Lonchura striata: one gene and its partners. Each later gene encodes a partner of the first gene's protein in a complex. Links are inferred from orthologs where the notes say so. Each region holds a gene or a part of one and is shown on either strand. Other genes may lie near its edges. The genes, in order: ARPC2, ARPC1B and ARPC3.

Region 1 (9,771 bases):
CAGGGTTCAGCCTCTGTGTCTGAAAGGCTCAGCAGCACACAAGCATCAAGTGACCGCAGGTGGGAAATACCATCAAGCCCGCGGACGCGGCTTCAGCCCAGCTCCTGCCGGCTCACAGGAACCACTCTGCACCAGGGCAATCCAAGCTTCGGTGAATTTCCTATGCAGCTAATGGTCAGGGAGCCCTGCAGAGCTGTACCTACTAATGGCTGTAAAGAAACCAATTTCATTTGAGATTCTCTTCCCTCCGCCCCCAGCCTAGGAAAAGGCACGCTGTACTCGAGCTATGCAAATTTGTGTTCTTTTGCACAGTGGGTAAATAATAAGTAACAGTTTGAGACAGATTATTAATTTACTAAAGATTTTGAGTAAGCTATATGTGACTGGAAAACCAAACCCTAAGACCAAAGCCCTGTGCCACACTTTCCCTAGGGTCAGTTAAATTAAAGCAGGACAAAACTGGATGTCAAATCTGTTAGTGTCAAACAGAATGATTATTCATCAGACGCAGAAGACAATCATTAAAATGTTTTACACTTGAAGTGTTTGTGGGTTTTTTTTTAATGCCTGTGTGATTAGCAAAGGAAAGCAATGATGAGAAACAGGATTTTCCAACTGGTAGAGTTTATCTCCTCACACACAATTCTATCATAAATGGGAAAACCCACGTGTGACACCAGCTTCCAGGCAACATCTCATGTACAAATGAACTAGTCAAAACCTTATGGAAGCTTTCTCTTGACATGTAAAAAAGCTCATAAGCCAACCTCATTTAAATAAACTTATTTCCAGGTACTGACCAGATATTTCACATTGCAGCAGCACATTCCTAACTCAAGTTATTTCAACAGATTCTGGTAACTTTAGGCTTTTATTTTAAAATGTGGTTGGTTTAAGAGAATATATTTAAACACATAAATTACTAGGACTAAGTAAGGAAAAAAAAAATCAGATGCATTGAAGTCCATCATCTGTTACCACCTTGATCTAAACATCATGTTTCAACAGTGGCTGTCCAAGGAGGTGAGATTTCCATGGGTCTTGCCCTGATTTTTTAGCTCTTTTGAAAGTTTTAAAGTTCTCATAAAACTTATTTAGCCTTCTGATAATGTTTACATATTTGAGAGTCAGAGTTCCCACACAATTTCATGTATAAACAGAATAGTTTACATATTTCTTTGTGGGAAGAGAGAATTGATAGACTGTTAGTTTGACCAGTGTGGTTGGAAGGGTGACAATTTCATCCTCCAATCCCACTGTCACTTTTGGAATTCTATATATTGCGAAGTCAGAAATAAAATTAACTCTTTTTCTCTTTTAAACTTAACAAACTTTTGTGTACTCATTTCGTGTCCAATAGCAACACATGGGGACTGTCCACAAAACCAAATTAAATTTGAAATTACCCTATTTACAGGTGGATGCTGCCAAGCCCCAAGGACCTTGTTCAGGGAGTACTCTTAGAGGTGGGTTAGGCCCTGTCTCAAGTGCTGATCTCTGTCTGCAGTCCTGCTGAGGTACCTTTCACACTGGGAAATCCAGGGACAGTTGATGGACCTCTATGCAGAACAGATCTTGACATATATGACAATAATAGCAGTTAATGAATTCCATCTTCTAAATGTGACCTTGTTCTGTATGACAAGGTGAAATGTGGAGTGTCTCCCACCTGATAGCCCAGGAAAGCTCTGCAGGAACCTGTCAAACTATGGCTGCACTGCAGTAGAAGGGAGCGACACAGCCCATGTCACAGGACAAGTATCTGGCAAAGGATCTGGAAAAGAACCCTGCCCTGCCCCATTTTCAGGCTGGTGCTGAAGCTACAAGGCACACCTGGCTCTGAGACAACCACTATTGACAAATCCTGCATTGCATCTGCTGCACTTCTGGTTTAGAGCAAATAATGTAAACCCAGCTCTGCCCCAGTGTCCAGATTCACTCCTCCCAGTCACCAAATTCTTCAAGGTTTGACCTTGCCCTGACTGTCCTGTGTTCAGCCCCAAGATACACCTTGGAAAATCATCATCAAAATAGCAAAATACAGGCAATCCCTTCCTACCTCCAGGCTGAGCACCACAGGAATAACCCCAGAGCTGTGGCCATAGGAAAAAGAAATATCACTTGAATAAATGTTTTGTAACATCTATTCCTTAGAAGACCTGAAAGCAGGAGAAACGTTCCTGCACGTGCCTGGATGGGGGAGCCCAGAACAAGCATGAAGAAAATTCAGAAGTAAATGTCTTCCTCACCATCAGCAACACACTTAAGGCACAAAACTTATCTAGAAACGCCATCTAAAGAACAGAATATGCCATAGATGACTAAAAGGCAGAAGGAGAACACCATCAGCCACCCTACTAATTGATTCGGGAACAGTCAGTATGTCAGGCACACGTGCCCACACACCAGTGAGGTGGCTTTGCCATGCAGCAAAATGGAAATGTCAGGGGCCTGCAGGCTGCTGCAGGGCAAGCAAGTGCAGCTCTGCTCAGAGAGTCAGAGTTTTGGGGTGCATCTAGACCTGCAAGCTGCCCCTCCACGTCAGATCAACACAGGGACACACACACGTTCTTCTCTCTGCATCAGGAAGAGTGGCTTGGCACAGACTAGTGATTGACACGCGGTTCTGACACTCACTGTGAACCTCTGTGCATGCCATATTTTCTAATGGATGTGGCTGCAATACCACAGAGGTCATCTGGGAGCTCTCTCTGCCCAGTGCTGTGCCTGTACTCTGGGGAAACTTGTTGCATTAAATGATCAGGGCTCAAGACAAATCAAAATCTGGGAGAAGCTCAGCAGTCCTCCAAGGCAGAGCAGCCTGCATAATTATTTTATGGAAAAAAAAAGCCCCACCAAAACAAAACACAAATCTGATCAGCAAGTCAACTGAGAGTGGAAGGAAAGCAAACTAAGTGGCCTCTGACAACGTTCTGCACATAAAAGGATGAGAGCTTCAAAAATTGCTGGAGAAAAAGTAACACAGAAAAAGGCACCTGCCCGGGAGGGTCCTTTCCTGGAGCAGCCTGAGCCCTGCCTTGTGAGGTGCCAGGGCAGGCTCCACCCCAGAGATAACACCACTGTGCTCTGCCTCTCAAGGTTTTGTCTGTGTACAAAGGTGTCTCAGGCAGCAGGCAGCAAGTGCATCCAGCCCACAGGCCACTCGGTTGCAGATAAGGACATTCATTCTTAAGGGACTTCCTTCCAAGCTAAGCTGTGTCCTCACAAGCATCTTTACAGCCCTGGTGCAACACTCACAGTAAAAAAAAACACGGGCTCCCCATGGACTGAGATGTTCCAGCTGGAGATGTGGGTGTGAACAAGACCCCCAGGCTGCTCCCCAAGGCCAGGACACCCACCAGGCTGGCACCAGCAGCCATGGCTGACCTGTGCGCCTCTATCCCTTCTGCTCAAAAAAGCTAAGAGGGAGCAAACTGAAATTTGCTCTTCACCCCAAAGCAAAAGGCTGAGGCCATGACTCCATACACAGGCTTCCTGTTCGTCGCCTCCCCCTACACATTCTGTACCAGCGCTGGCAGCACGCTGATGAAGGCCACTTTACCCTGCAAATCCACCTTCCTCCCTTTCCAACTTCCTCCTTCTCCACCCCTGTCCTCCAGTCCACCTCAGCACGGCAATCTCCGGCACCCTTCCCAGACCCGTCCTGCTCCCCCGGGGCTCCCCATTGCTCTGGCACTAGCGACCCCATCCAGCTCCACTCTCCCCTCCGACACTGCCCTGTCCCACTCTGCTCCCTCATTCCCCAGCTTTCCCTCTGCCCAAGCTCTATCCGTCCCGCAGCTCAGCTCCCGCACACTGACCACCCCCCTCCCAGCCTCTGCATCCCGCAGGCTCCCACCCCGTGCCCGCTCTGCCCTCCTCGTTCCCGGGCCGCCCCCCGGTAGCACACTGCCCGCGGGCTCAGTGCCGCTCCCCAGCCCCGCATCCTGCCTTGTCACCTTCCGCCCCGCTCAGCCCCATCCTGTCCCGGCACCACCCGCCGGGCTCTGCTCCGTGCCCGGGTGCCCGGCACGGCCCGGGCCCCGCCAGCCACCGCCCCCTCGCCCCTCCCTCTCTCCGCGGACCCGTCCCCGCCCCGCCCCGGCTCCCCTGCTCCTACCCGGCGGCCGCGCCCTCGAACTTGAGCGTGAGGGTCTCCTCGATGATGCGGTTGTTGACCTCGAGCAGGATCATGTCGGTGCCGGGAGCGGCTCTGAGGGAGCCGAGCCCGCTGCGCGCACCGGGGACCCGCCCGAGCCTGCGCCGCCGCTTCCGCTCTCGCGCCCGCGCGTCACTTCCGGCCCGGCGCCGCCGCCCCGCCCTCGCCGCGCCCACCCGCGATGACGTCACGCGCGGCGGGCGGGCAATGGGGGCGGCCCTTGAGGGCGGGGCGAGGCGATGGGGAGGCTGCTCGGGCACGGGCACCGGCACCGCCGCCAGCCGTGTGAGGCCGGGCGTGGGGCTGAGCCTGCGCTCTGGAAACCCCCCGCAATGTGAGGGTCCCCCCCTCCACACCCCGTTAATTGAATACTCACAGTGCTGGAGGTCCCCGGAACAGTGGAATGCCCTTAGGATCATAGGGACGCTCGAGGAAGTAGTAGGTGTGCCCCAGTGTATGGGGGTCTTACAGGGGAAAATGGTATCTTGTAAAATATATAATTTCAGAGCTACAGGGCCCCAAAAATGTGAGGTGGCACAGGGAGTGGGAGTATCCTAGGGGGGCTGTAAATGGTGCCCTGGATCTTGGGGTTGCCCAAAACTGAGGAGGTGTTCCCACAGAGAATAGGAGTGTCCTTGAGTCTGTGGTGATGCCCAAGGGATATGATGAAGGGATATGATGATGGCACTTACCAGGTGCCCCAAAAACGTGAGGTAGCCCTATGGCTGACAAGCATGGAAAGCTGTGAGGATGGCGGTGCTCAAGGGGTTTGTGAGTGCCCCAGAGTAATGGAGGTGCATGGGGAATGCTCTTGTGTGTAGTTCTCCCCTAAAAGCAGAAGGGATACTCGGAGCCACAGCATTCGCTAAGTCTGCAGGGCTGGCACAGTCTGGCACAGCGGCACGGCTCTGTCTGATGGCATTGATGGCATGGCTTGACTTGGCTTAGCTTGGCAAGGCACAGCCAGGGCAGGAGGGACATAGGACTCTACTCTGGGGGGGTCCCCCACAGCAACCCCCAATGGAGGGCAAGCCAGTCTTGCAGTCCCCGTGTGCATCCCCTAAATGCTGACACCACCTACCGCTCTATCAATGGGGAAACTGAGGCACAGAGCCCTGCATTGCCATCACCCACTGACCATGGCCTCAGAGAGCTCTGCTCTCCTGGGGGGACCGCAGCACACAGGGGTGCCTTGAAGGGGATCCCCTCATCCACTGGAGACCTGGGGACAAATTGGAGACCCCCAGCTGGTGACCCCCGGGGTGCATCATCACAGGAATGACAATGACCCCCTGGGTGCACCCCCAGTGCAGCGTGGCCTGGGACATCTTGGGACAGGAGGCTGACAGGGGTCTGCGGGCTTCCCTTGGACTGGGAAAGGCATCTGTGAGGACCACAGAAGGGTCCCTTTGGCTGCCACTTCCTCTTCATTCTGGGAGAAGATTTTGCAACATTTCCTCCCCGGGCAGTATAAAGTGGGTGGCGGAGGAAAGGGGTACTGGGAGGCGGCACAGCAGCAGGCACAGGTGAGGATCCTCTGGCTGGTGAGACCCCTGGGTCTGGTGCTGCCCTGCATCCCACCACACTTTGAGCCCTTTTGGGGTGACATCTGGATTTAAACTCATACTTGTGTGCTTCCCAGTGAGAAACAGCTTGGGATCAAGAGAAGACTCCACATTTGAGGGGACGGCAACAGCAGCAAGCAGTGAGTCCATGGGGTGCACCACTGGAGATTGTGGCTTTCCTTGGGCTTTGACAGCCCCACATCACTCATCTGAGCCCCTTCACATGTGGAGCAGCCTGGGAGCTGGGGTGGGTTGGTCCAGCTGCCCAAGAGGCTGCTTGGTAGAGGGAGATGGTGGGTGAGAGCAACCAAGGCTGTGCTGTGGGATCATCTGGGGTGCAATCCCTCCATAGTCCCCAGGGACATCAGCCTTGGGTGCCATTGGGAAAAATACCTGCTCCCATTTCCTTGCACAGCGATGAGCTAGGAGGATCCTTCCCCATGGCATGTCCCCACTGGGAGCCCCAGGCCCCCCACATTGTGCCCCAGCCCTGCCAGGGTCAGGAGGGGAAATGGAGTGCTGCTTGTTCCCCTCATCTGGGCCAGCTGTGGGGATCTATCTGTGTGTGTTATACCTGGGGAATACCCATTTCCAGAGGAACCACCAGAATTTTGGAGTGGGGAAGCAGAAAGCAGCAGCCAGAAATAGATGGAGGGGAAGCACTTGCATCAGGCTCTGCCCCATGCCTGGGGAGCTCCACTTGGGAGGACATTCCCCCATCAGCACTGGCAGCATGCCTGGTTGCATTTCTCCGGGATGCTGATGTTTCCATATCCCAGCATCACCACCCTGGGGTCACCATCCCAGGATTTCCATCCCTGGATCACTGCAAGAGAGGATACAGCAGAGCCAGGGAGAGAGTGGCACCAGCCCAGCTGCGGCAGGGGATTCAAATCAGGCAAAGGGAAAAGTTGGTTCTAGGAATGGTTTGTGTTCAAACAGGGCCAGTTTGGAGGTGGGTAGCAGCACCCCAAGCAGTCCTGGCATCTCCAAGCCCTGGAGGGGTTGCGGGCTCAGAAATGGGACCAAGGGGTGAAACTGGAGTGGAACAAGAGTCCAGATCCATTCTGGGAGAAGACTGAAAGCCTGTGGTCTTTGGGGAGGCAGGACCAGAGCAAGCTCACCGTCTCCTATGTGTGAGGAGACAGGAAAAGCAACTGCCACCTGTGATTTCCCCATTTTGGCCAAGCACGGGGGTACACAGCAGTGCCCAGCTGAGCAACAGGAAAACCAGAGATGTAACATTTCCAAAGCTGCCTGCAAAGTGTGACATGTCTTTCCGCCTGGGGTGTGAAACCACTCCCGCAGGAGCAAGACCAGGAGGTGAAAGAAGGACACAAAAACACCTTCAGACCTTCTTGAGTGCTGCCTGCCCCAGCCACCATGACCACAGCCTTGCTGCTGGCTGACATGGCAGGAGGGGCAGCTCCGTTCCAGGCATCACAGCAGCAATGCTTGAGGGGGTGGAGAGGCTGGAGGGATACAGGGATACTTGAAGAACTTTGGAGGTGTGTGAGGGGCTCTGACATGCCCAAAGAGCTTAGAGGCTTTTGAAGGAAGCAGGATAGCCCAGGGTTTCTGGAGGAGCCAGATGTCTCCTGGAGGGATGTGATGCTACATTGATGGAGAAGCCCCCAAACTCTGAAGAGGTGATCAGTCTATGGGGGAACCTTTTCTTCCACAAGAGTCAGGAAATGGACAGGACTGGGGTGAAATGCAGGAGAATGAGGCATGCAGGGGGTGTTTTACAAGGGGGTATATGAGGAACAGTGTCTACCTGCATACTGACCATTACCTGGCACAGTGTGGAATGCTGTGTCCTCCATCACAGTGATGAAGGACAGCTGCCCACTGGCTGGGAGAGTACCTGGGGGCCAACAGAAATGCCAGAGGATCCAGAGATACTGTCACCCCTGGTCCACAGCACTACCACCCCATGCTCATGCCATTTTGTGCTCCACAGGCAAAATGGAGCCCTTGTCCTACAGTGGAGATTTCTCCAACCTCTTCTTCTTTTACAACTACACCTATGACTACAGCACAGCCATGCCTGACACTGCTATCTCATCCTCTCCGTGCCGGCCTGAAAACTCTGCCCTCAACAAGTACCTGGTGGTGGTGATCTACTGCCTCGTCTTCATCCTCAGTGTGGTGGGGAATGGGCTGGTGGTGCTGGTGGTGACCTCCACCCACACCAGCCGCTCCGTCACCGACGTCTACCTGCTCAACCTGGCCGTGGCAGACCTGCTCTTTGCTTTGACCCTGCCGCTTTGGGCAGCCTACCGAGCCCACGAGTGGGTCTTTGGCACTGTGATGTGCAAAGCCATCTCTGTGCTGCAGGAAGCCAACTTCTACAGCGGCATCCTTCTGCTGGCCTGCATTAGTGTGGACCGCTACCTGGCCATTGTCTATGCCACACGGGCTGCCACTGAGAAGAGGCACTGGGTGAAGTTTGTCTGCTTGGGCATCTGGGTCTTCTCCATACTGCTCTCCCTGCCCGTGCTGCTCTTCCGTGAGGCTTTCCGCTCTCCCAACAATGGCACCGTGTGCTATGAGCGCATCAGTGGCGAGGACACGGCCAAGTGGCGGGTAGTGCTGCGGATCCTGCCGCAGACATTCGGCTTTGCCTTGCCCCTCCTGGTGATGCTCTTCTGTTATGGTGTCACCATCCATACCCTCCTGCAGACCAAAAATGCTCAGAAGCAGCGGGCCATGAAGGTCATCTTTGCTGTGGTGCTGGTCTTCCTCATCTGCTGGCTGCCCTACAACATCACCCTAGTGAGCGACACCCTCATGAGGACGCGGGCCATTGCTGAGACCTGTGAGAGGAGGAACCGCATCGACACAACCCTCTCTGTCACGCAGGTCCTGGGCTTTGCCCACAGCTGCATCAACCCTATCATCTACGCCTTCATCGGTCAAAAGTTTCGCAACAGCTTCCTCAAGATCCTGGCGCAGCGTGGGCTGATCAGCAAGGATGCTGTTGCCCGCTATGGCCGTGCCTCCTATGCCTCCACCTCTGGCAATACATCCACCACCCTCTGAGCCCTTCTGGGACCCAGCCTTTGTGGGTACCAGCAGGTCCCAGCACCCCACACACCTCAGCATCATCATCCAGTCCCCTGGCATGTGGGTGGTCATGCCATAGGGATGGGCAGGGCCACCACTGGATGTTGGACCCCAATTAGAAGGGGGCTTGGGTAGCACGGTGGTAGGACCCCATTGCCAGGGGAGTGATGTCAAGTGTCCACCCTCCCCCCTCTTTGGGACAAAGCCTGTGACCCTGTGGATTCTGTGAGCCTGCTGTGAAGATGGTGTATTTACCCAATGACCATCGAGCAATAAAGGAGTTGGTCGGTTGGTCACCCATGTCTGGCTCCTCTTTGCCACGGACGGGACACAGCAGGACAGGGCCAGGGCACCTCTCTGGGGACAGTGCCAAAACAGTGCTGCCTGCTGAGCCTGTCAGAGTGTGGGTAACTCTTCTTCCAGGACAGGGTGTGACATTCTGTGCATCCCCACAGGGGACCCAAGGCCAAGTTTTGCTTCCTACAGTTCCCCAGACAGGTCCTGGCATTTCCATGGTCTCTATGTGGAGTCTATCCCACCTGAGGACAAAGTCATTCCCTTCCCAACCCCAGTCTCAACCCCAGCAGAGCAAATCACTGAAAGATCTCTGAGGAGCCCCTCACACTAAACCAGCCCTGTGACCCCTGCCTGAAGGGTACCGGCATCCCCACTCCTCCCAGCCATGGTGTCAGAACATTGTTGTGCAAAGGGCTGGGAACCTGTCCCTTACACAACCGGGATGTTTCCGCTCTGGCTTGGGCAATTGGGGCTGACACTTGACTGGGGTTGAGGAGCTGAAGAAGGGACTGTGACCCTGCTGAGTACTCTCCTGCCACTCTGTGTGCCAGGCCTCAGGATGCCTGCCCCAGCACACCTACACATCTTTCCACTGGAGTCCCATATTGCTCCTCCATTGACCTTGATCCAAGTTCCTAGAGGCTCATAACCATGGAGACATCAGCAGATGTCACCCATGTG
Region 2 (9,822 bases), on another chromosome or scaffold:
CTCAGGGGCCCAGTCGATGCCTGGAAGGCAGAGGGGGATGATGGTGGCCCATGGTGGCCCAGGGAGCCTCAGGAATGGGAGTGGTGGCACTCAGGGCTGGGGGGTGTCTGAAGGCGTGGTTGTTCTGGGTGGTCTCTGATCCACAGTTCCTCTTTGCTCCACACCATCCCTCTCACCTCAAAGCATTCCATGTCAACCCATCCCACCCCATCTCTCTCATCCATGCATCTCATTCCACCCCACCCCATCCCACCCCATCCCTCATTCCACTCTACCCCATCCCTTCCCTTTCCATCCATCCCACATCATCCCAATCCATCTCACCCCATTTCTCCCATCTGTCCCCATCCCTTCCCATCCCTCTCTCCCTCCTTTCCTCCACCTCATCCCTCTCCATCTCTCCTATCCCATCATCCCACCCCTGGCTGCCTTCAGGTGGACACAACCTGCTCCACTCTCCTCCACCCCCACACGACCCCCATCCACTCTGGGACATGTCCCACAGCTCTGGGACAGCCCAGCCACCATCCGTGTCCCTGTCCCCTCTGCCAGCTGTGGCTCACCTGTCACCTGCCCGTTGTGCTCCTTCAGCTCGTGCACTTTGCTCCACTTGGCCCCATCCTTGCGGTAGATGTGAACTTCGTGGTTGTTGGGGCACAGGGCGATCTCTGGGGGGTGACAGTGGCCAGGGCAAAGCCCTCCCCTGGGTCACCCAGCTCTGCAGGGCCAACCAGCACCCACCCACCCACCCCTTCCTGGGCTCCAGGTCCCCACTGAGCCCCAGCTGCCTGGGGGAGTCCCACAGCCCCCCAGCCCTGGTCCTGCACTGCCCTAATGCTGCAAATTGTCCCTGGGGGAAGGGAGAACCCCACAGCCCAGAGCCATCCCTTCCCTAGGGTGTGGTCCCATGGGGCTGGTGGGATGAGACAGGACAGGATGGGCTAGGATGGGATGGAACAGGACGGCTGGGGGTGCACAGCTCCCAAACCCAGCCCCATCCTGCCTGCCCGGCGCTCGGGCCGCAGCAGAGAAAGCCCTTTTTGTTCTCCGCATCCCCCGGGCCGCGCTCGGGAAATGCCATCGCCCCTGAATCACCCGGCCCCGCTCCCTCCCTCCCTCCCCTGCCGGTGCCTCGGGGCTGGACGCTGTGCCAGGCTCTGTCCCGGCACCGGGGGGACACAGGGGGATGTGCTGTCCCAGCCCCCAAATCTGCCAGATTTGCTTCCCAAATCCAGCCCCAAGCCAGCTCTGCCCCGCCCCGGAGCATCGCCCGCCTCGGGGGTGTTGAGCCAGGACAGTGCCCGGGGATGTCCTCGGGAATTGCGGGGTGCCCCGGGCGTACTCACGGGTGCGGTCCTTGTTCCAGGCATGGCAGCTGATGGGCTCCAGCAGGAAGCTGTGGTAGGCCATGGCTCACGGGCTGGGGACAGGGAGAGACCCCCAGAATGTCAGGACACAGGGACAAGACCCCAGCCCCACAGAATGATCCTTCCCACTGGCATCAGTCCTGTGCTGCAGCCCACCATGTCTCTCCTCCGCCGGGGAGAGGGTTCTCCTGAGGATTTCCAAGCTCAGAAACTGTCCATTTCCAGGATTTTCTAAACCAAACTGGCTGGAACTTGCTGGGCAGGAGCTGGCTGGGCACACAGGGACCCTGGTGCCAGCAGCCCCCTGTGCACCCCTGGGGTCTCACCAGGGGCAGCACCTCCTCTCCCCACCCCAACAGGGCCAGATCCACCCCCTCCTTCCACACCTCTCATTTAGGAAGAGCCAAAGCCCCATGGAGGCCCTTCCATCCCATCAGTGCTCAGCCCTCAGGACCGATCCCTTCTCCTGGCTGAGCTCCCACCATTCCTGCCGGTCCCCAGCTGCCATGGGATGGAGCAGTTTGCCAAAAAAACCCCTCCAAGTGCCACGGCAGCGGGAAGGGCTGGGAGCAGCGTCACAGCCCCTCGGCCATCCGGCCCGGGGAGCGCAGGGATGTAGGGAAACACCTCGCCAGGGCGCGGCTGATGACGGGAATTACTCACAGCCTGCTCTCGGCTATTTTGGGAACTCCTTGAACACGTCCCGTTTTCTTTGGCAACTAAAAACGTTACAGGGGAAAGGAAAAAAGTCCCTCTTAGCAAAGCTCCATCCCTGGGCTGGGGAAACGAAAATCTGCAGAGCTCCATCAGCTGCCTTCTGCATGTGGAGAAATTCCAGTGCTGTCACACAGCCCCTGGCCAAGGACGTGGGCAGGGATGAGGAGGCAGCTGCCGATCCCCCTGGGATGCAGCCCGGGGTGTCCCAAGGAGGGCACAAAGCTGCTGCCACCACGGGCCTCGCCCCCGAGCCCTGCGGATGGAGCAGCACCACGAGGGACGGACAAAACCATCAGCGACATTGCAGGAGATCAGGAGAGGAAAAAGGGATTTGGCCGAAATGGCTCAAAGGGCTCCCTACAGGAGGGATGGGAGGCAGGACCGAGGTGCGTTCTGGCTTCGACACGAAGAAAACAGCAATGCTTTTTCTTTTTCCAGGTGGTTTGGGAGCTCAGAGGCATAAACTCTCCTCCCTGGGGTCCCTGCTGCTCCCTTCTGAGTGCCACCCCGAAGGGACGAGCTCAGCCGCCGTGCCAGGACGGAAGTTTTTGCCAGACACAAAAGGAGCAGTGGGTGGTGTTTTGTTTCCCCCACGGCCCCTTAGAGCCAGTTCCCCATGGGTTCCCCATGGCTGAGTCCTGCCCCCGCCCTGCAGTGACCCTCGGGGGCTCGGCAGCCTCTTCCCCAGCCGGGAAGAGCATCCAGGAGCTGTGGTTACATCCCTCTCCCACCCCCCTCCCCAACCCAGGGGCTCTTGAGGGAGGAAAATGGGAATTTTCCGAAGGCCAGACAGGGCGGGACTGGGAGCTGGAACAGCTCCGTTATCTCCCCGGCCAGTCCAAGCAGCTCGGAAACATCCTGGGAGGAGATAACCAAACCTTGGCAGAGCCGAGAGACTGCCGGGGGCTCCTCCCAGTCCCGGGAGGAAGCCGCACACCGGAGGAGCTGGGGTTTGGGTTTTTACGAGCCTGGCGGGGTGGTGGGAGGAGGGTTCGCACCCAGTGAGGATCCCGCTGGGAGCTGGGACCCCCTGAAACTCTCCCCGGACGCTGTGGTGGAGCCCTGCACCACCAAGACCCCAACACCGACCCCCGGGAGCCGCTCTGCTCCCTGCGGCAGCCGAAGGTGTCACCGCCCGGCTCCTGCCAGCCAGGCTGGGGACTCCCATCCCCAGAGCCCCGTGCTGGTGCCCCGGGAGCCAGCCTGGCCTGAGGGGACACCCCGAGCCAGGGCAGGCGGAGGGCGGCTCTGACCCTCCTCTTCCTCGCACGGGCAAAGCGGGAAGCAGCTGATGCCGAGGAGGGGAGGACAGATTGCGGCAGCTCAGTCTCTGCCGGCACCAACCCCGAGGGGACCCCCACAGGACGACTCTTTCCACCCCCTCAGAGCTGTCAGACCTCCGGCAAGAGAAAAAAAAAAAAAAAAAAAAAAAAAAAAAAAAAAAAAAAAAAAAAAAAAAACCCAACCCAAAAAAAACAACCCTGAAACTTGCTGACAAAGCTGGGAGAAAAGCCCAAAACACCCAAAACGCGGCGACAGCGAAACTCGCAGGGGGCAAGGGGCTGCCTGCACCCCCTGACCCCAGCCCGGGGGGACCCCCCGAACCCTCGGGCGGGCTGTGAGCGCCAGGAGCGGTGACAGCCACAGCCCCACGGGACAGCGGCGGCAGAGCCCGTCCTTACCTTGCCGGGCAGGGCGGGCTGGGCTCCGTTCCTGGCCGGCGGGGCTCGTTCATGGACTCTGGGCAGTCGACACGAACGGAGCCCGGAGCGAGCGGCGGGAGCTGTGCCTGCCCCGCCGAGGCAGCCCGACTTCCCTTTTCCTCTCCGAGAAATGCAACCACTTCCTTACGTGGGCGTTGGGGGAGCGCCGAGCCGCCCAGCCCCTGTGCCTGCGGGCCGGGCCGCTCGGCACCGCCGCACCGGGACGCGCCCCGGCCCCGCGATGCTCCCGGTGCGACGTGGGCAGCTCGCCCGGGTGCTCCAGGGAAGGACACAGCCAGGAGAACAGAAGGGAAGGGTCCCCGCCGTCTCCCTGTGCCAGCGGGTGTTGTTCACCCCCGAGGGATGGGGACTCCCCGATGCTTGCGCTGGCCCCCACCGGGGAGCAGCCGAGCTTGGAGCCCACCCGGGGAGAGACGCTGGTCGGCATCGCCTCCCACGGCCGGGGAGATCCGCAGGAGCCCGCGGAGCCCGATCTGGCCGCCCTCGGCAGCAGCTGCTGCTGGTTCCTGCATCTCACAGAGCCCAGTGGGACCCAGTGCCAGGCTGGCCGCGGTCACCATGCCTGTGTCCCCACGCAGCAGACATCCAGCCCTCTGGTTTTATCACCTCCTGCTTCAGAGCAGCTAGTTTTTATCCCATTCCCGCCTGGATGCACTCAGGCCTTCCCTCCTGGGCATAGGGATGCACTCACTCATCCCCTTTCCCTCTGCTACGCCCCAGGTTCTCTGACTGCAAGAAATGAAACACTTGCTATTTTATGTTTAGAAGGGAGAGGAAATTGTAAAGCCAAGCCCGACTGCCAGGGGAGAAGGTGGGAGACATAAGGAAACCAGAGAAGGATCCAGTTCTGTGATGGAGAACAGTGGCTGCCACTCAGAGCTGACCTTGCACAGCAACAGAGCTGAGAAACGAGCAGGGTATGAAGCAACTTTGGTTCCAGAGGAAGTGGTAAATTTAGTCATTGGGGTTTTTTAAAGACACTTCTGCATTTTCGGCAGAATTGACAGTTTTAAGCTTTGTAAAGCAATGCCATGAGCCAGCTAATCCCCTCAGAGCACAGCAAGGCAGCAGCACCGGGAGGAATACACCCTGTGAATAAAGCTGTGTCCAAATGCCTCCGTGAGCTCCTGAGGCTCCAAGCTGAACTGCAAAAGGTACCTGGGGACAAAGGATCAGCACAGAAGCCAGACCACACCAACACCTCTGGTTGCAGCTTCATTTGCCCACTAGTTGTCATAAATACAGGATTTTATGGGTTGAGAGCTCAGCTCTAACAGGTCACAGAATCCCAGAACCACTGAGGGTAGGAAAAACTTCCAAGTTCAGTAAGTCCAACCTGTGACCAATCTCCACCTTGCCAACCAGCTCAGAGCATCGAGTGCTACATCCAGTCATTCCTTGAACACCTCCAGGGATGGTGATTCCCCAGCCTTGAAGTTTCACAGACTTACCAAGAGATTTGCTTTTAATTTGTCTTCCCCAGACGAGGCTCAGCAGATATTTGTCTCACTTTCCACACAGAGCTTTCCATATTGTCCCACAGGCACTGCCCTGGGAGCAGGCTGGAGACCAATCCCAAAGGCAACCACAGATAATTCTGGTCACTCACCTTTGGAAAAATGTCACTCGCTAAGCAGACAACAAAAAAGACATTCAGATTAATTTGCTGTTGCTATGGATTAAATGCAAGGCAGAGAGAATGAAGAGAAGTAGGATAAAATCATTCATTCTCCAAAATTGTCACCTCAAGGGAAGAATTCTCCTGGAAGAAGCTCATCTGAATCTTCACATCCAGATCACCAGAACTCCAGGTCTGTCAACTTTAGAACCTTTCAGTTCAGATGAACTTCTGCTTTAAGGCCATAAAATATCAGTGCAGGGTTTTCCCCACTCTGTCTCTCTCCCAATTCCCTTAACATCCCTTTTTTAATCAACAAACTTCAAAACAAAGAATCAGTTTTTCTCTTTTTTATTATTATTATTTCTAGCAGACAATTTACATAAAATTCCCCTTTTAAGTTAGTGATTCATAACTTCCTGCAATAAACTACTTAAGGAGCAGCTTTGGTAAAGAATGGAATGAAACAACCAACCAAAAAAAAAAAAAAAAAAAAAGAACAATCACAGCTGATTTTGAAACCAACACAATTCACCAAATTTAGATTCAAAAGAAAAACTGCCAAGCTGTATTTTCTCAGTGTTTCCAAATATTTCACCTTCCTCCTCCCTTTTCAGGTTTGTGCAGATGTGGGAGCTGCATTCTGTCAAGCAGTTTGTCCTGCTAGATCATGGAAATCCATCTTTACATGATTCGTAGCCCTTGGATGGAGGACTCTAAAGTCTTGAAGGAGAGAAAAAAAATCTTAATTACAATCTGCTGTTGTAGCTTGGGCTAAATTAATTCAGTGTAAATGCTAAAAAAAACAAGCAAAAAACATGAATATTTGAAATTAGATTCAGTCATAGAATCCGAGAATGGTTTGGGATCAAAGCTCATCTCATTCAAGCCCCTGCCATGGCAGGGACGCCTTCCACATTCCCAGGTTGCTCCAAGCCCTGTCCAGCCTTGTCTTGGATACTTCCAGGGATCCAGGGGCAGCCACAGTTTCTCTGGGTAACCTGTGCCAGGGCCTCACCACTCTCACAGGGAAGAATTTCTCCTTTAAGTAAAGGATTTCTTCCTAATGCAAGAGGCCAGAGACCACAACAGTTGTTCCTTTCAAACTCAGGCAGGTACCAGCGACACAGACCCAAAACTGCACTAAAGCAGCCTAGAGATCACTTCAACTTCTTGTATGACTCCTGTCCCCACCAGAGCATCCTGGCACCATAGAACACAATCTGTTCTTTCCCTAAATCACATCCCACATCCCAGATCTGGGAAGGCCAACAGGGACCTCTGTTGGCCAGGCCTGAGTAAAGCAAGCATGGGCATTAATACATCCTTTAAGGATTTTCAATATTGCATTTTCCAGCTGTTAGAGACAACTTCTTACTCCTTGGGTAAGTCAGTTCTGAGAGGACAGGACCATGTTCTGCAGCAGGACAATGAGCAGAGTCCCATGGGATGGGAGAAGGGAGAGGCAGGGGGCTGTGTTGTACAAATTGCTCCAGCTCAGTTGTGGCTGAGGCTGGAAAATGAAAGAATTAAGGGGATTCCTACAGGGACATTAAGTAATTCTATTAAAAAAATAAGTCTGTATTAGCACCATCTGCTTAACAAACTGCATCTGCATTTCTGCAGATTCTTGGATCAGTTTTTCTTATGGATTTCACTAATGGTTTTGAATATTCCAGTCTGGATTTCCTGCTGCTACTAAAACCTGGCTTGAGGCTGAGCCCCAGGAGTTGATACTAGAGATTAAAAAAAAAAAATCCACCACCCCAGCTAGTTCACATAAACATGGTAGTAAAAGCACATTTTTACCTTAAAATCCCAGATGGTCATTGCTCCATCGATGCCGGTGGTGCAGAATTTCCGACAATCCCGTTTGTCAATCTCATAAATAGACACTTGGCTGCAAACACAGAGTGAGAGCTCCAACACCCATTCCAGAGAGCCAGAAATCTGGGAAATTTGGGTTGAATTCCACTCCTACTCTTTGGCTGGAGACATGACTATACCAGAGCCTATACCAGATTCTTGGTAGAATGCCTCAGAAAAATAAGCCAAGAAAAAGATGCTGAAAGCTCTTTAATGGCTTGGTGAGACAAAACGTTTTCCTTGAATAAAGAGAAATTGCTCCACATCCCTGCAGATCACATAATTTTTTTAATGCAAAGATATTTTACCCAATTAACCTGAATGAATCTTTTTGATTAACAGAATTGTTGAATGGTCTGGGGTGGAAGGGACCTTAAAACTCATCCAGTCCCACTCCCTACTGTGGGCAGGGACACTTTCCACTGTCCCAGGTTTCTCCAACCTGGCCTCAAAAGCTTCCATGGATGGGACAGCCACAGCTTCTCTGGGCAGCCTGTGCCAAGGGCCTCCCCACCCTCACAGAGAAGGATTTTTCTGTATGTTTAACCTAAATTTCCCTTCTTTCAGTTTGAAAGCAGTGATAAATAATAAATAAATAATACACATGGCAGTAACATCTGAAAAAGGAAGCCGGGATGTGAATTTCAGGTGGATTTTACTGACTGCATTTTGCACAGTGCCATCAGCCTCTTGGGAACTACCAACATATTTGATAAGCTGTGTCCAAGGTACACAACACATCAACCACGAGCAAACAGCTGTAGCCACGTCAATGATTAACCAGCAGCCACGTAAATCCCAGAAACTGAGAGCTGCTAGGGAAAGAGGTACCAGCTACACCCTTCTGGTACAGCAAACCTAAAGGTTTGCAGAACACCCTGGGCGATGGGCACAGAGAACATCCCCTGCCCTGCTGCTGGCAGCAGGACACTCACGTTATACTGTTTTGGTGCAGCGTCTCCAGGGTGGTGTTGCGGTCTTCCGTGGTGGCTCTTTTATCCATGTTGCGGAAGCGCTCCATGGCAGAGATGTTGCGCTGGATGCTCTGTTTGGGAATGTCGAGTTTGGAAACGAAGCTCAGCAAGCCACGGTCGTCACAGTTGAAGAGCATCGGGCAGCAGTCGTGGCCCTGCAAGCAAACACCCGTCAGGAAACACCACCTCAGCATTCCCACCCTGCCCTTCCAACAGGAAAACACTGACAGCAGGGCACAGCTTGTTTAGTATTATTACTAACTGTGCAATATATGGGGTTTTCTCCCCCTCCAAAACACGACAGCTCCGCGAGGAGGAATAGCAGACACTTACAGCTGCCACCACGCTGTTCTCGGAGACAAAGGACACGCTCAGGAGTGGGAGGAACTCTGTTTTCAGCTGCGAAACCCTGAGCACAAGGACATTTGTTAGAGGGATTCAATGAAACTTCTCATTTTAGGCTTCAACAAAAAATAGGCACCCTTCCTACACAAGGATTGTTGGAAAAGTCAAGGTAGCTCGCCTGTCCTGTGGTGACAACAGAAGGTTGTAATTTGTAATAAAAAGTTTCAGCCTAATGAAAGTGTGCTGGAAGATTTATAACAAAGCCAAGTATTTCAGGTGAAAGGCTAACATTACCAAAATTATGCGTAAACAGGGGCAAGAATTCAAAAGGAATACCCCCAAAAACGTGTGTTTCGAGGAAGATACTAATTTCATTTGAATATAAAAAATACTTGAAATGTTGATGCTTGACATCTTTGCAGAAGGAAAAAGCCTTGATGTTCATTTAAGTCAACTTTTGTGATTTAATAACAAATAAAGGGAATTCTAAAATACTTTATAATTAATGATATTCCCTGCCAGGTACTTATACAACCGTACTGATCAGAACCACAATTCAAAATTAATCCCAGCAATGTCTGGATGACCCCCAGAGACTTCTGCTACCAAAACATATGGAGAATCTCATCCTTCCTGGCTGGAAAGCCAAGGACACTGCAAAGTTATGCAGATCGAGAAGAGCAGCAGGAGGAGCAATTGTTAATAAAATATTTTGTTGGACTGGGAGGTGTAAGTTGAAACCTTGCATCAGCAGCATCTTAAGGAGAGATGTTGAAATTAATATTTCATGAACTTATTTTCCAGATTCTGGTTAGAGATGCAGTCTTAGTGATGCAGTGAGCATGTTTCTGGATTCTCTTTGAATTGGGAATATTGTCTGGAATATTGCTTGGAATATTTGTATTGCAAATATTGTTTTGAAAAAGGAAATACTGTTTCCCTGGTTACTCAGTGGAACATACCTTTTTCCCTAAATGCCTCTTTTTTCCCTGGCAAAAAAATTTGCTATACACTCACTGAAGAATTCTTACAAAGAATTTAAGTTATATACTCTAAAATTTACAGAAACAAATCTTACTTATAGTTATATAAGCCTCAAAGAGACTCCTGGAACCTACAATAAAACAGGCAACAGAGGCACAAGGTTGTGAACCCAATATTCCACACAGAACCACGGAATCATTAAAGCTGGAAAAAACCTTTAGGGTCAC
Region 3 (9,996 bases), on another chromosome or scaffold:
ACTGCCTCTTCACAAAGCAGATCCACCACTGCAGAAGGAAGTACAGAGTCAGAAAATCAGAAGTGGTTTCCAATGACTGAAGTATTCAATCTCTGACACAAAACAAATATTTTACACATAGTTTTACACACTGGTTTCTACTTAAATTGAGGTGAACAAGACAACAGGAATGGACACAATGAGTTCATATTACAGGACTTATGGGAAATTCTACTTTGTCTTATTTTACTTTTATTGTATTTTATCATAAATGAGGGATGCATCAGGAAGCTATGCCTTTGAAAGTAAATTTGCCTAAGTGATTTTGACACTAAATGCAGTCACATTTGCACATGAAACATGTGAACACTCAGGAGGTGACTCATTCATTGATTAGCGATTTTTTCAATCTGGACATGAGGCAAAACAATCGACTTCAAAGCAGCTCTCACATCAGAGCTGCAGGGAAGAGACACAGCACCTCTCCTGCTTGTGAACTCCATTTGCAACCCCAGCCACGAGCAGATGTGCAGTGCTTTGAAGAGCTGAACCAGACACCTCTTATTACTGCCCTGCTTTTGAAAGCAACCCAAAGTGGCATTCACTGTCATATCACATTAGATTAAACTTATTGATAACTTGCAGCTGCCATTTCACTGCAGAATCAGACAGGCTTGGCTGAAGTTTCTCACCCCCTTGTCTCACTTCTCACGTAGCTGAACAAACTCCCCCAAGCTCTCACTAACTCCGTGCTGATGCCACTGAGGTCTCACCTTGCTTGGCTTGTCGCTCTGAGGATCAAACACTTTGTCACAAAGGCGAAGGCCGGTTTCTTGCCTCAGCTGCTGCAGGTAGGCCCTCATCACCTCTGAAAGCAGCACAGCAAAACCAAGCTAAACTGGGCAGCACCAACCCAAACTGGATTTAACAGGGACACATCAGACATCGCTGCTTAAAGCAGAGAGGGAGTTTCACATCTGCAGGCACTCCCAGCTGGCTGAGTTGATTAGCTCGATTTATCTATAGAACCAGGGGAATCCTCAAGGTCAGAAAATCCAGCTTGTGCTGCCTTCAGAAGACAGACTGCAGATTTAGAAGATTTAGGTTTAAAGTAACTAACTGCAGTCATAAAAGTGCAGTTAATCAAGTGTGACCCTCAGAGGCCCTGGGTCAGCCTTACCTTCCTCCTGCTTGTTGGCAGGTTTGGCATAAATGGCGTTCAGTGGAAAGCCAGGCTCCCCTGGGATTGGGAAGTTAGTGATTCCTAGTGTGTACATTTCCTTCTCTCCCTGGCCTTTGGAGTTGCACTGGAAGAACCAGGCAAACAATGGGTTAGCAGTTATGAACAAAAACTGACACAGCATTAGACCCAAATATTTTACAAATCTGGAATATGAATACTCATCAAGAGCAACACAGCACATCCACAGCCTTGAGGTATTGGAGGCTCTGACAACTGGGACTGGGGTGAACAGGATTATCTGTTCCCCTGGAAGGAGAATATCAGGAAATCCTTTCCTTAGAACAATTCTCAGAACAGACTGTTTCCCACCTGCACAGGAATTCAGTTTTCTTACCTTTTGCAGCTTTTTCAGGCACTCAGAAATGTAGAGGGTCACATAGATCAGTGTTCTGTCAGCTTCATTCTGCAAAACAAGAGCAGGAACTCTTAGATGACAGCACTTTGTGGAACTGATAAAGTCTGAAACAGGAATTAATTCAAGCCATTTTGGGCTATAGTTTCCCCATGAGAGAGAGATTTGCAATTCATGACATTTACCCAACTTTAAAGATTAAGTGGAAGGGGAGTTTTTGTGATCTTCTTAAAATTACTTCCTTGAAAATAAATTTATATTCACAGAACCAACCCTCCAAAGAACTAGAATATACTCAGTATCTCAAAAAATTACCTTAATTTCATAATTTTTGAAGAAAACATTAGCTTTGAAGTAGTAGATGGCTTCATCTATAATATCTGTGTCCTTAGCTATAAAGAAGAGATAGAGTTAAGGAGTGCTCTGTTACACTACATTTGTCATAACTTTTACTCATTGAAATATATAAATAAGGATTACTGCAAGAACAAAACCATGGTATTTACAAAAAGCAGAAGTCAGCACCACGTAACAGAAAACTTCTGAAACACCATGAGTTCAGACTGTAATATTTAAGCTTCCTACTCCTTTCTCCTTCCCCTCTGATATGTCACTTCACAAATAGCAGCAATTCAGCAGTTCCTCACTTTTCTACCACTTTTGAGTAACTCATCACAGTTTTAACATCATAAAAGGATAGAAAAAAAGTTTTTGGAGAAAGCACATCACTCGGATTCCATTATCCTCTTCAAATAAAGGAGGGGGGCAGAACACAGTGACAATCTGACCTTTGTTACCATCCAAGACTGCTTAAATCCAGAAACGTTTCCTTTCCATTTCCCTTTCCAAACTGAATCCCACATTTCTGGGGAATACCACACCTGGGAAGTTCAGGTGTTGAAAGGGAACGTGTGCCTGTGGGCCCTCTCGGGGTGCCTGGAACTTCACTGCAGTTTTTGAAGCCCCACACCCGTAAGTGCTGCTGTCCCTCAGAGCAGCCCAGAGCACGAGTTCTCTGCAGCTGAACCACTTCCTCTGACACAGAGGCTTCACACCACCACAGCCTCCTCAAAACCCTGCTCAGGAGCACAGGGGGAGGCACCAGAACAGCAGCCAGAGGCTTGGATTACTGAAACCCCTAACTCAGCACAACACGGAGCACAATTATCTGTGCATAATTATTTTCTACAATTTGCACAACTGAAGTAGTTGAAAACTTTCCTCCTCTCTAAACTGCGAATCTTTCTATTTCCCACCAGTGATTCTTCTCATCACTCTTAATGGGGTTGTCTTAGAGCAACCCCTGAGGTGATGAGCTACATCCAGTAATTCAGAGATTATTATAATCTTACTTTCTCGAGGTGCTGGGCCCTTGAACTGGCTTCTGATGGGTAACAGTGCCATGTTCCCAATCAGCTTGGTGTCTGAGTCCATTAAAGTGGAGTGGTAAGCCTAGAGACAGGGAGAGCTGGTTATTGATCCTACTGAAAATGGACATTTCCATATCCATTCACATGTCTTCATCAAACAGGAGTCACAGCCTAGTTCATTATGATGCTTCCATCATTTTTTCCTTGCACAAGCAATTGCTATTTTCTCTTTAGGTCCAGATCTTAGTGCCATTCTGGTGAAGACCAGGAAAGCACCAGGAGATGGGATAAAATCTGTGTTGTTGGTCTGCAGGCACAGTTCATCCCCAGGCTGCCTCATCCTGTTACCCCATCCTGGCTGCACCAAGGGGTAACAGCCCTGCTCACCTGCCTGAGTTTTGGGGCATTGCACTGAAAGTTAGTTGGTCATTAAAAAATAGGTAATTTAATTCCACGACTGGCTATTAATAGTAGATAATTATAAATAAAAGCAGGCTCAGTGCAGTAAAAAAAAAAATCAACAAAAGCAACAAAAGTGATTTAAGTGACAAACAAACCAGCTTTCCGCATACAACAAATTCTCCCTGAAAAACCGATTTTAAACAACTAAGGAGTTTAGTTCTAGGCACTTTCCAAGGTGCTGTGCAAGCCACTGGGAATCCCTCATCTCACAACCCACCCTCTGTGGGGGGGCAGAGGAGGATGTGACTGGGAGAGGCTGGATGTATAAAAAGCAGTTTATTTCACTGAGAGGTGGCGTGAGCAAAGCCGGGGCAAAGCCCTGCTGTGACCGCCCTCTCCCCCGCTGCTGCCGGGGCTCGCACCCTCCCGGCTGCGGGTGGATCCCTGGCAGGGGGAGGAGGAGGAGGAAGAGGAAGAGGAAGGCGCTGCCTTGCAGCAGCCTCCCATGAAGAGCCATCCCCGCTCTCAGCAGCGCTCCCCGCAGCTGCAGCCCCTCGTTCCCCCGCAGTGCCCCGGCCGGACCCCGCAGCGAGCAGAGCCCGTTCCCCGGCCGGGATCGCCGCCCCCGGCCCCGCCGCCCCGCGCCCTCCCGCCCGCGCTGCCGCCGCCGGGGCCGCGCGGCGCCGGGCGCGGAGCCGCTCACCGGCATCTCGAAGGGCAGCAGGCGGCTCGGCGGGGCCGGGCGGGAGGGGAGCGGGGCGAGCCGGGCAGGACAGCGGGCACAGAGCTTCCTCCTCCGCTACGCTGCAGGAAATGAGGCAGCGGCAGAGGCGGTGCGAGGAGGAGCCGCGCACCGCCCCGGAGGCAGCGCACCGGGAAGGGATCCCGGGAGGCAGCGCCGTGCCCCGGCACTGCCCGTACGGGGAGCGGCCACGGAGAGGCACTGCTGTCCCAGGGCACTGCCGGTCCCGGGAGGGGCACCGCCCGCTCGGGGAAGGGGTCCCGGGATGCTTCGCTGGCCGCTGGTTTTCTCCCCTGGGTGTTTCCAGCACGGCACTTCGTGCAAGGAAACACAAAACGGGTCCAAACGCGCTGTGTTCAGAGGGACACACTATTTTAGGGTGCACACTCAAATTGCTATCAATTGCTTCCCTGATATCCAGCGTTGCTGAAATTGTTCCCTGGTATCTGACTCCCGGCATGAGTCAGGGAGACAAAGTGGGGAGGTTTGGAAGGTGAGTCACAATAATTCAACTGCAAGGCTGGGGTTTATCCTTTCAACATGCCCTAAGCGTGGCTCGTCCCAGTGGCAGTCTGGAGGTGAATTAAACCACGGTGGTTTCCCCAGCTTTTGAATGGTTTAATTCAGTCAGATCAAGACCTGCCACATACAGATTTTTCTGAGTCTTTTTCCTCAATATATTTTGAGGATTTGCTGGTCTGTTGAACCTCTTGCCCGTTTCTGGTTCTGCTTGTTTATATGTACTAACACTGGCCTATGTATTTTATAACACACCCAAGCATAGTAAAAAAAATTGTTTATTAAAGTAGTTACGAGGTCATATAACTCACTCTCCATTATAAATATTAGTTATTTTACAGATAAAACATCAGGCGTGTTTGTGTAGGGGTTGGGGGGTTTTTATTTTATTTTTATTTTTTATCAAAAACAAAGTATTTTCCTCAGAGTTTGAACATGTTTCTTACTCATCCACATGATCTTGAAAGTATTCATCCACAAGAGCAGATTTATCTTCTTCACATTCCTGTCAAAAAAAACCCCAGAAAAACATAAACCTTCCTGGTCTGAACACAGGAATCATTAGGGGACTTTGAACAGTCATGCAGGAAAAAATCTTGGTGATCTCAGTGGTCCTTTCTGGTATTTGAAGGTTAAAACTCTGTTAATTTTGAAAACCAAACCAATACTTTTAAACAACCACTTGATCAACCTGCATATGCAAGATTATATTAAAGAATTTCATTTCTATAACTAAATGAAGATGATACAAGCATTACCACTGAAAGACTAAACACAGCTTATTTTGAACCGTACAAAGAGAATAATTTATTAGCAAAGCAAAGAACATACTTATATCACAACTTCTCTTATGGATACTTTCTAATTTTTCATCTTCTCAGCAACAGTCCCTTACCTTTGGTTCTTTAAATTCCAGATCTTCTCCATACTGAATGGTGAAGTCTATGTGCTGCAGAATGATGTTTATGCTTTCCTCATCAGAGCGATCCAAAGGCAGGAATCGAACCATGCCATAATCATCAATCTACAGAAGGGAAATGCAGAAAGTTCATTCTCAATCACAGCACTCAAAGCCTCTTCCTTAAACCACTCTTTTCTGGACTTCTAAAATAGCATTTAAACTCACACTGCAAACCAATGGCAATTCCCAGTTCCCCACTCAGAACACCTGGCTACCAATCCTAAATTCTATGCAGCAGCAAATTCCCAAAATTGCCGACAGAAAAGAATTCAAAGAAAATGTATTGGCTATAATCCAGATATCAAGAGTATCTTATCAGTAGTATCAAGAATCTCATGCTAATCTGAAAAAACAAAAAAATATTAGTTAAGCAAAAAGTGATAGTGAATTTTAGGGCACTAGCTCAAAAGCAATGTACCTACCAATCCACATATAGATTTGGTCAGTTTTTTAAACCTTTTGCTTTTCAATATATTTGTAGAATCTTCAATCATAGAATACATATCTGGATCCAAGTACCTGGAGAAACAAAGTCATCATCAACATTGAAAGTCTGTCATTCAAAGTGACACAAAAGATCCAAGATAATTATTTACAGAAATAGCCAGAGATCAGTACAAACATGGAGCTATTTTTCTGACTCTGACTAAATTAAGCATCCTACCCAATGTTTAGAGATTATTGTTTGAAACAAAATCCATCTTCTCCCATTCCAAATGAGTAGGTTTTAATTGTGGGAAACATGACTCAAGTGAACTTTGTTTCAGTATATTGTACCACAGAGTAAATAATTTTTTGGAACTCACTTTTCTATTTCCTTCTTGGCTTTCTTGCTCAGCAAATCCATTTTGGTCATGACGTTAATCTGTGGAATCTCCAAAGATATCATTGCACTGAGGGCTGCCAGGATTCCAGAAATAAACTTGAAGAGGATGAAAAATGATGTATTAAAGTACACAAAAACAGAACACAAACATGCAGGACACTCAACCACAGGCCAAATCTGGTAATGAATATATGGAACATGGACACAAAGCCATATGAGGAATCATTCTCTCTGTTGAAAAGAGGAAGTGGAAAAATTTTTGGAGCCTCAAATATGGATCTGCCACTGAAAAGGACATTAAGAAAACCAAAACCCTTCTTGGAATAGTTACTGCTAAATGGGGATGGTGGCCTGCTTGTTCTTGGGATCTGAGAAAGCTCTCATGGAATCACAGAAGAATTTAGGTTGGAAGGGACTTCTGGAGGTTATCTGGCTCCTACAACTGCTCAAACAGAAGCACTTCCAGGTCAGAGCAGGCTGCTCTGGGGTTTGCCCAGTCAAGTTTTGACTCTGTGAACATTCACTGCACAATCCCTCTGTGCCTGTCCCAGTCTGTTCACTCTCCCAGTGCTGCTTTACATCCACCTGGGATTGTCCTTGCTGCAGGCTGTGTCTGAGGCAGCTGATGACAGCAACCACATCTCCCTGCACCTGGCAATTTTCCCTCTGGGCAAACCCAGCTCCCTGAATGGCTAAGACTTCTTGTTCTTTATTAAAATGAACTTTATCAACAGATTTCAAATGGATACCTTGAAAGATTCCACCATGAACTGAGAATCCACAAGGAAAACTCCACAGACACGGAATTCCCACTGCTGCAGCTGCTCCACCAACTGTTTCATCACTGGCAGGTGTGTGTAGAGTTCAATCTGACCTGGAGCACACTCAGGATGTTAACAGGTAGGAATGTGAAGCAAACAAGAACAGTACACAGTTATATTTAGACATGGGAACTGCACTTAAATAAAAACTAGTAAGGAAAGCACCTTCTTTTGAGGAAGCCTGTGTTTGAGTGAAATAGAAAAGAAATAAAAGGAGGTTTTTTCCTCCTTTGGTCCCCAGTTAGTGTTAGTTTGCAGTTGCCACAGCTCATGATGCTACCAAATAGCTGCGCAGTCACCCAGATCAGCCCAGGACCAAGTTCACTCCTGAGACACCTGAAAGTGACTCTGACAACTGATAATAGCTGAACAAAATGGGAATTATCACAACCTCCACAACCACATTTTCCAATTTGCGAATTTTCCAACGCTTATGAAGAGTGATGCCAAAACATTGGTGTGGCTTTACCTGGGCAATCAAACAAAACATAGTCATCCTCCACGTGCCCGAGGCTCTCCTCCAGCCAGCTGAAGTTATTGGCAAAGTATTCCATGCAAAACACCAAGCCACCATTGGGGCCAAACCTCAAGGACTCATCTTCCATGACATCGTCCACCTCTATCAGCTCGCGGATGTCTGCGACAACACAAACGGCCCCAAAGGCAGGGAATGAACTCTGGCAGCTGAGGAAACTTCACAGCAGTGCTGGGTGCAGGGGGATCTCCCTGGCACAGGCACAGCCAGCACCAAACACAACACGTTATGTTCAGGAAAGTTAAACAGGTAAATATAAGCTAAATACTTCCCGGGATTTATTGGGGAGGGTCTTTTGAGGGTTCCTGGTGATTGTCTAGGAAACATCTCATTCCCCAAGATTTTCCTCTTATGGTCTAATGAATATCTCCTCCTGAAAGTATCTCATCTATGTGGGCAGGTCAGGGTGTGCTTTTATCATCTTTGTTCAGATACAAACACTGCTGTTTTTCTTGAAACTGAGGCATCTGCCAGTACCTATCAATCACTGGTGTAGGTAAATACAGGGATTGAGAGTGCATCAACCTCTGACATAGGCACTGAGCATTATTTGCCAGCAGACCAGAATTATTCCTTAATTTACGGATCACACGTTACTTTATTAAAACGATTTTCCAACATCTTCCCCCGGCGCTGCACGGGCTCCGTTTTGGAGGACAGAACGGGTCCGGTCGCACGCTCTCGGGGCAGCCGGAGCCCAGCCGTGCCCGGGGCCGCCGCTCACCTGCCATGACGGGGTAGCTGAAGAGCTCGGCCGCCGGGTCCAGGTTCACCACCTGCACGGCGCGGCCCAGCGCCTCGCAGTGCTGCACCATGGTGGAGCAGTACGTGCTCTGCAAGGCACACGCGGCCGTCAGGAGCCGGCAGGGAGCTCCCTCCGCCCGCCCTTCCCCGCTATTCCCCGCTCACCTTCCCGCTGCCCGCCGGGCCCATCACCAGCTGCGCGTACCGGGGCATGGCTGCGGCGGCCCGGCGGGGAATGGCCGCTGCGGCGGCCCGTAGCCCGGCCGGCTCCGCGGCACGGCCCCGCCCGCCGCCGTACGGCGAGCCGGCGGGGTCAAACCGTGCCCGCCCCTCTCGCGAGACGGCGGCGCTGGGGCGGGCGCACGTGCGCGCGCGGTGAGGGACCGGGACCGGGACCCGCCGCGGCCCGAGGGGCCTCCGGTAACACCGACACCGCCCCCGGGCCCCCCCGCGCAGCCCCCGCCTGCCGGCTCCCACACGCGCCCGCTCCCGCTCCGCCCCTGGCGGGGATCCCCCCGGTGCTTGTACCGAGCATCCTCCCGGCGCCCTCCGTTCCGTCAGCGCCGGCACCGCCCCGCGCCGCCAGCCCGTCCCTCCTCAGGTACCCGACCCGCATCCCCCGGCTGCCCCCCATCCCCTCAGCTCTGCCCCCGCGAATCCCCCCGGCCGTGCCCGGTGTCCCGGCTCCCTTCCCCCGGGCCGCCCTCGCTTTTCCCCGTGACGCCCGGCATAGCCCCGCGCCCCTCTGGGGTGTTCGCCCGGCTCCCCCAGCCGCGCTGTGCCCCTGTGCCTGTCCCCTGCCCTGACCCACCGCCTCTGGAGTTCCCTCCGCGTTCCCCACTGCTCAGCACAGCTCGCACCACATCCTGAGCTCCGTCACACGTACCCCCTGCGTTCCCATCCTCTGCGGGATTTCTTATGTGTTCCAAATTCTTTCCTTGTTGACTCCTGTCTTCTAAGTCCCTTGCTTGAAAACGTGTGTGTAGACCACTATTAAATCCATTAGTGCCTTGAGTTTGCTTTCCTTTTTTTACCCTCTGTTGTTTTTTTTCCCAGTGTTCTTGGATCAGATAGTGACTCTTCAGGCACTGATTTAAATGACCCCTTTCCTTTGCTAATATGCAAGAGGTGCCTGCCTCCAGTGTCCCCACTGCTCGTGTGCACTGATTTAACATGATACTTGTCCTTAACCCAGTGTGTTCTGTAATTCCATGTGGGTTTCTGAAAGATTTTTCTTCATTTCGTGGCGCTTTGGCTGCTTTCCCCTTACATGCTAGAATTCCAGTACTGCTTGGCATCCTTTGAAGCAGTTTCCCCATGTTTTCATATGTTTGGCTCCCATTTTCCTCGCCCTGATCTCTCACTCTCTTTTGACACTTCCCCTGTTTCCTGTGGCACTCTTTGAGCTGGGAGGGCTGTGACTGACGCAGCCCCAGAGCCTGGGTGCTGATGCTGTGGCCCTGTGACCCGCAGGCCTGTGACATGGCCACGGAGGTGGCCGA

What was found.
Region 2: ARPC2 (region 1) and ARPC1B share a complex: the UniProt entries of both Homo sapiens proteins name them as parts of the arp2/3 complex. The link is inferred for Lonchura striata from reciprocal best matches to the Homo sapiens genes ARPC2 and ARPC1B.
Region 3: ARPC2 (region 1) and ARPC3 share a complex: the UniProt entries of both Homo sapiens proteins name them as parts of the arp2/3 complex. The link is inferred for Lonchura striata from reciprocal best matches to the Homo sapiens genes ARPC2 and ARPC3.

What each region holds. Positions count from the first base shown.
Region 1 is NC_134610.1:15,527,480-15,537,250, reverse strand, and holds the start of ARPC2 (actin-related protein 2/3 complex subunit 2), read right to left. Parts: upstream 4,315-9,771; 5' UTR 4,195-4,314; coding exon 4,121-4,194; intron 1-4,120. Other genes in the region: C-X-C chemokine receptor type 2, read left to right, coding at 7,693-8,769. UniProt on the Homo sapiens protein: Actin-binding component of the Arp2/3 complex, a multiprotein complex that mediates actin polymerization upon stimulation by nucleation-promoting factor (NPF).
Region 2 is NC_134618.1:14,898,265-14,908,086, reverse strand, and holds the start of ARPC1B (actin-related protein 2/3 complex subunit 1B), read right to left. Parts: upstream 3,889-9,822; 5' UTR 3,767-3,888; intron 2,068-3,766; exon of another isoform or gene 2,031-2,067; intron 1,421-2,030; 5' UTR 1,411-1,420; coding exon 1,347-1,410; intron 669-1,346; coding exon 564-668; intron 21-563; coding exon 1-20. Other genes in the region: ARPC1A (actin-related protein 2/3 complex subunit 1A), read right to left, coding at 6,111-6,149, 7,236-7,326, 8,228-8,421, 8,600-8,675. UniProt on the Homo sapiens protein: Component of the Arp2/3 complex, a multiprotein complex that mediates actin polymerization upon stimulation by nucleation-promoting factor (NPF).
Region 3 is NC_134620.1:12,737,679-12,747,674, forward strand, and holds the start of ARPC3 (actin-related protein 2/3 complex subunit 3), read right to left. Parts: upstream 4,161-9,996; 5' UTR 4,056-4,160; coding exon 4,050-4,055; intron 3,265-4,049; exon of another isoform or gene 3,179-3,264; intron 3,027-3,178; coding exon 2,927-3,026; intron 1,967-2,926; coding exon 1,890-1,966; intron 1,626-1,889; coding exon 1,557-1,625; intron 1,287-1,556; coding exon 1,160-1,286; intron 848-1,159; coding exon 753-847; intron 29-752; coding exon 1-28. Other genes in the region: GPN3 (GPN-loop GTPase 3), read right to left, coding at 5,050-5,112, 5,503-5,631, 5,991-6,087, 6,375-6,490, 7,144-7,268, 7,685-7,852, 8,475-8,583, 8,660-8,707; DENR (density-regulated protein), read left to right, coding at 7,979-7,999, 9,968-9,996. UniProt on the Homo sapiens protein: Component of the Arp2/3 complex, a multiprotein complex that mediates actin polymerization upon stimulation by nucleation-promoting factor (NPF).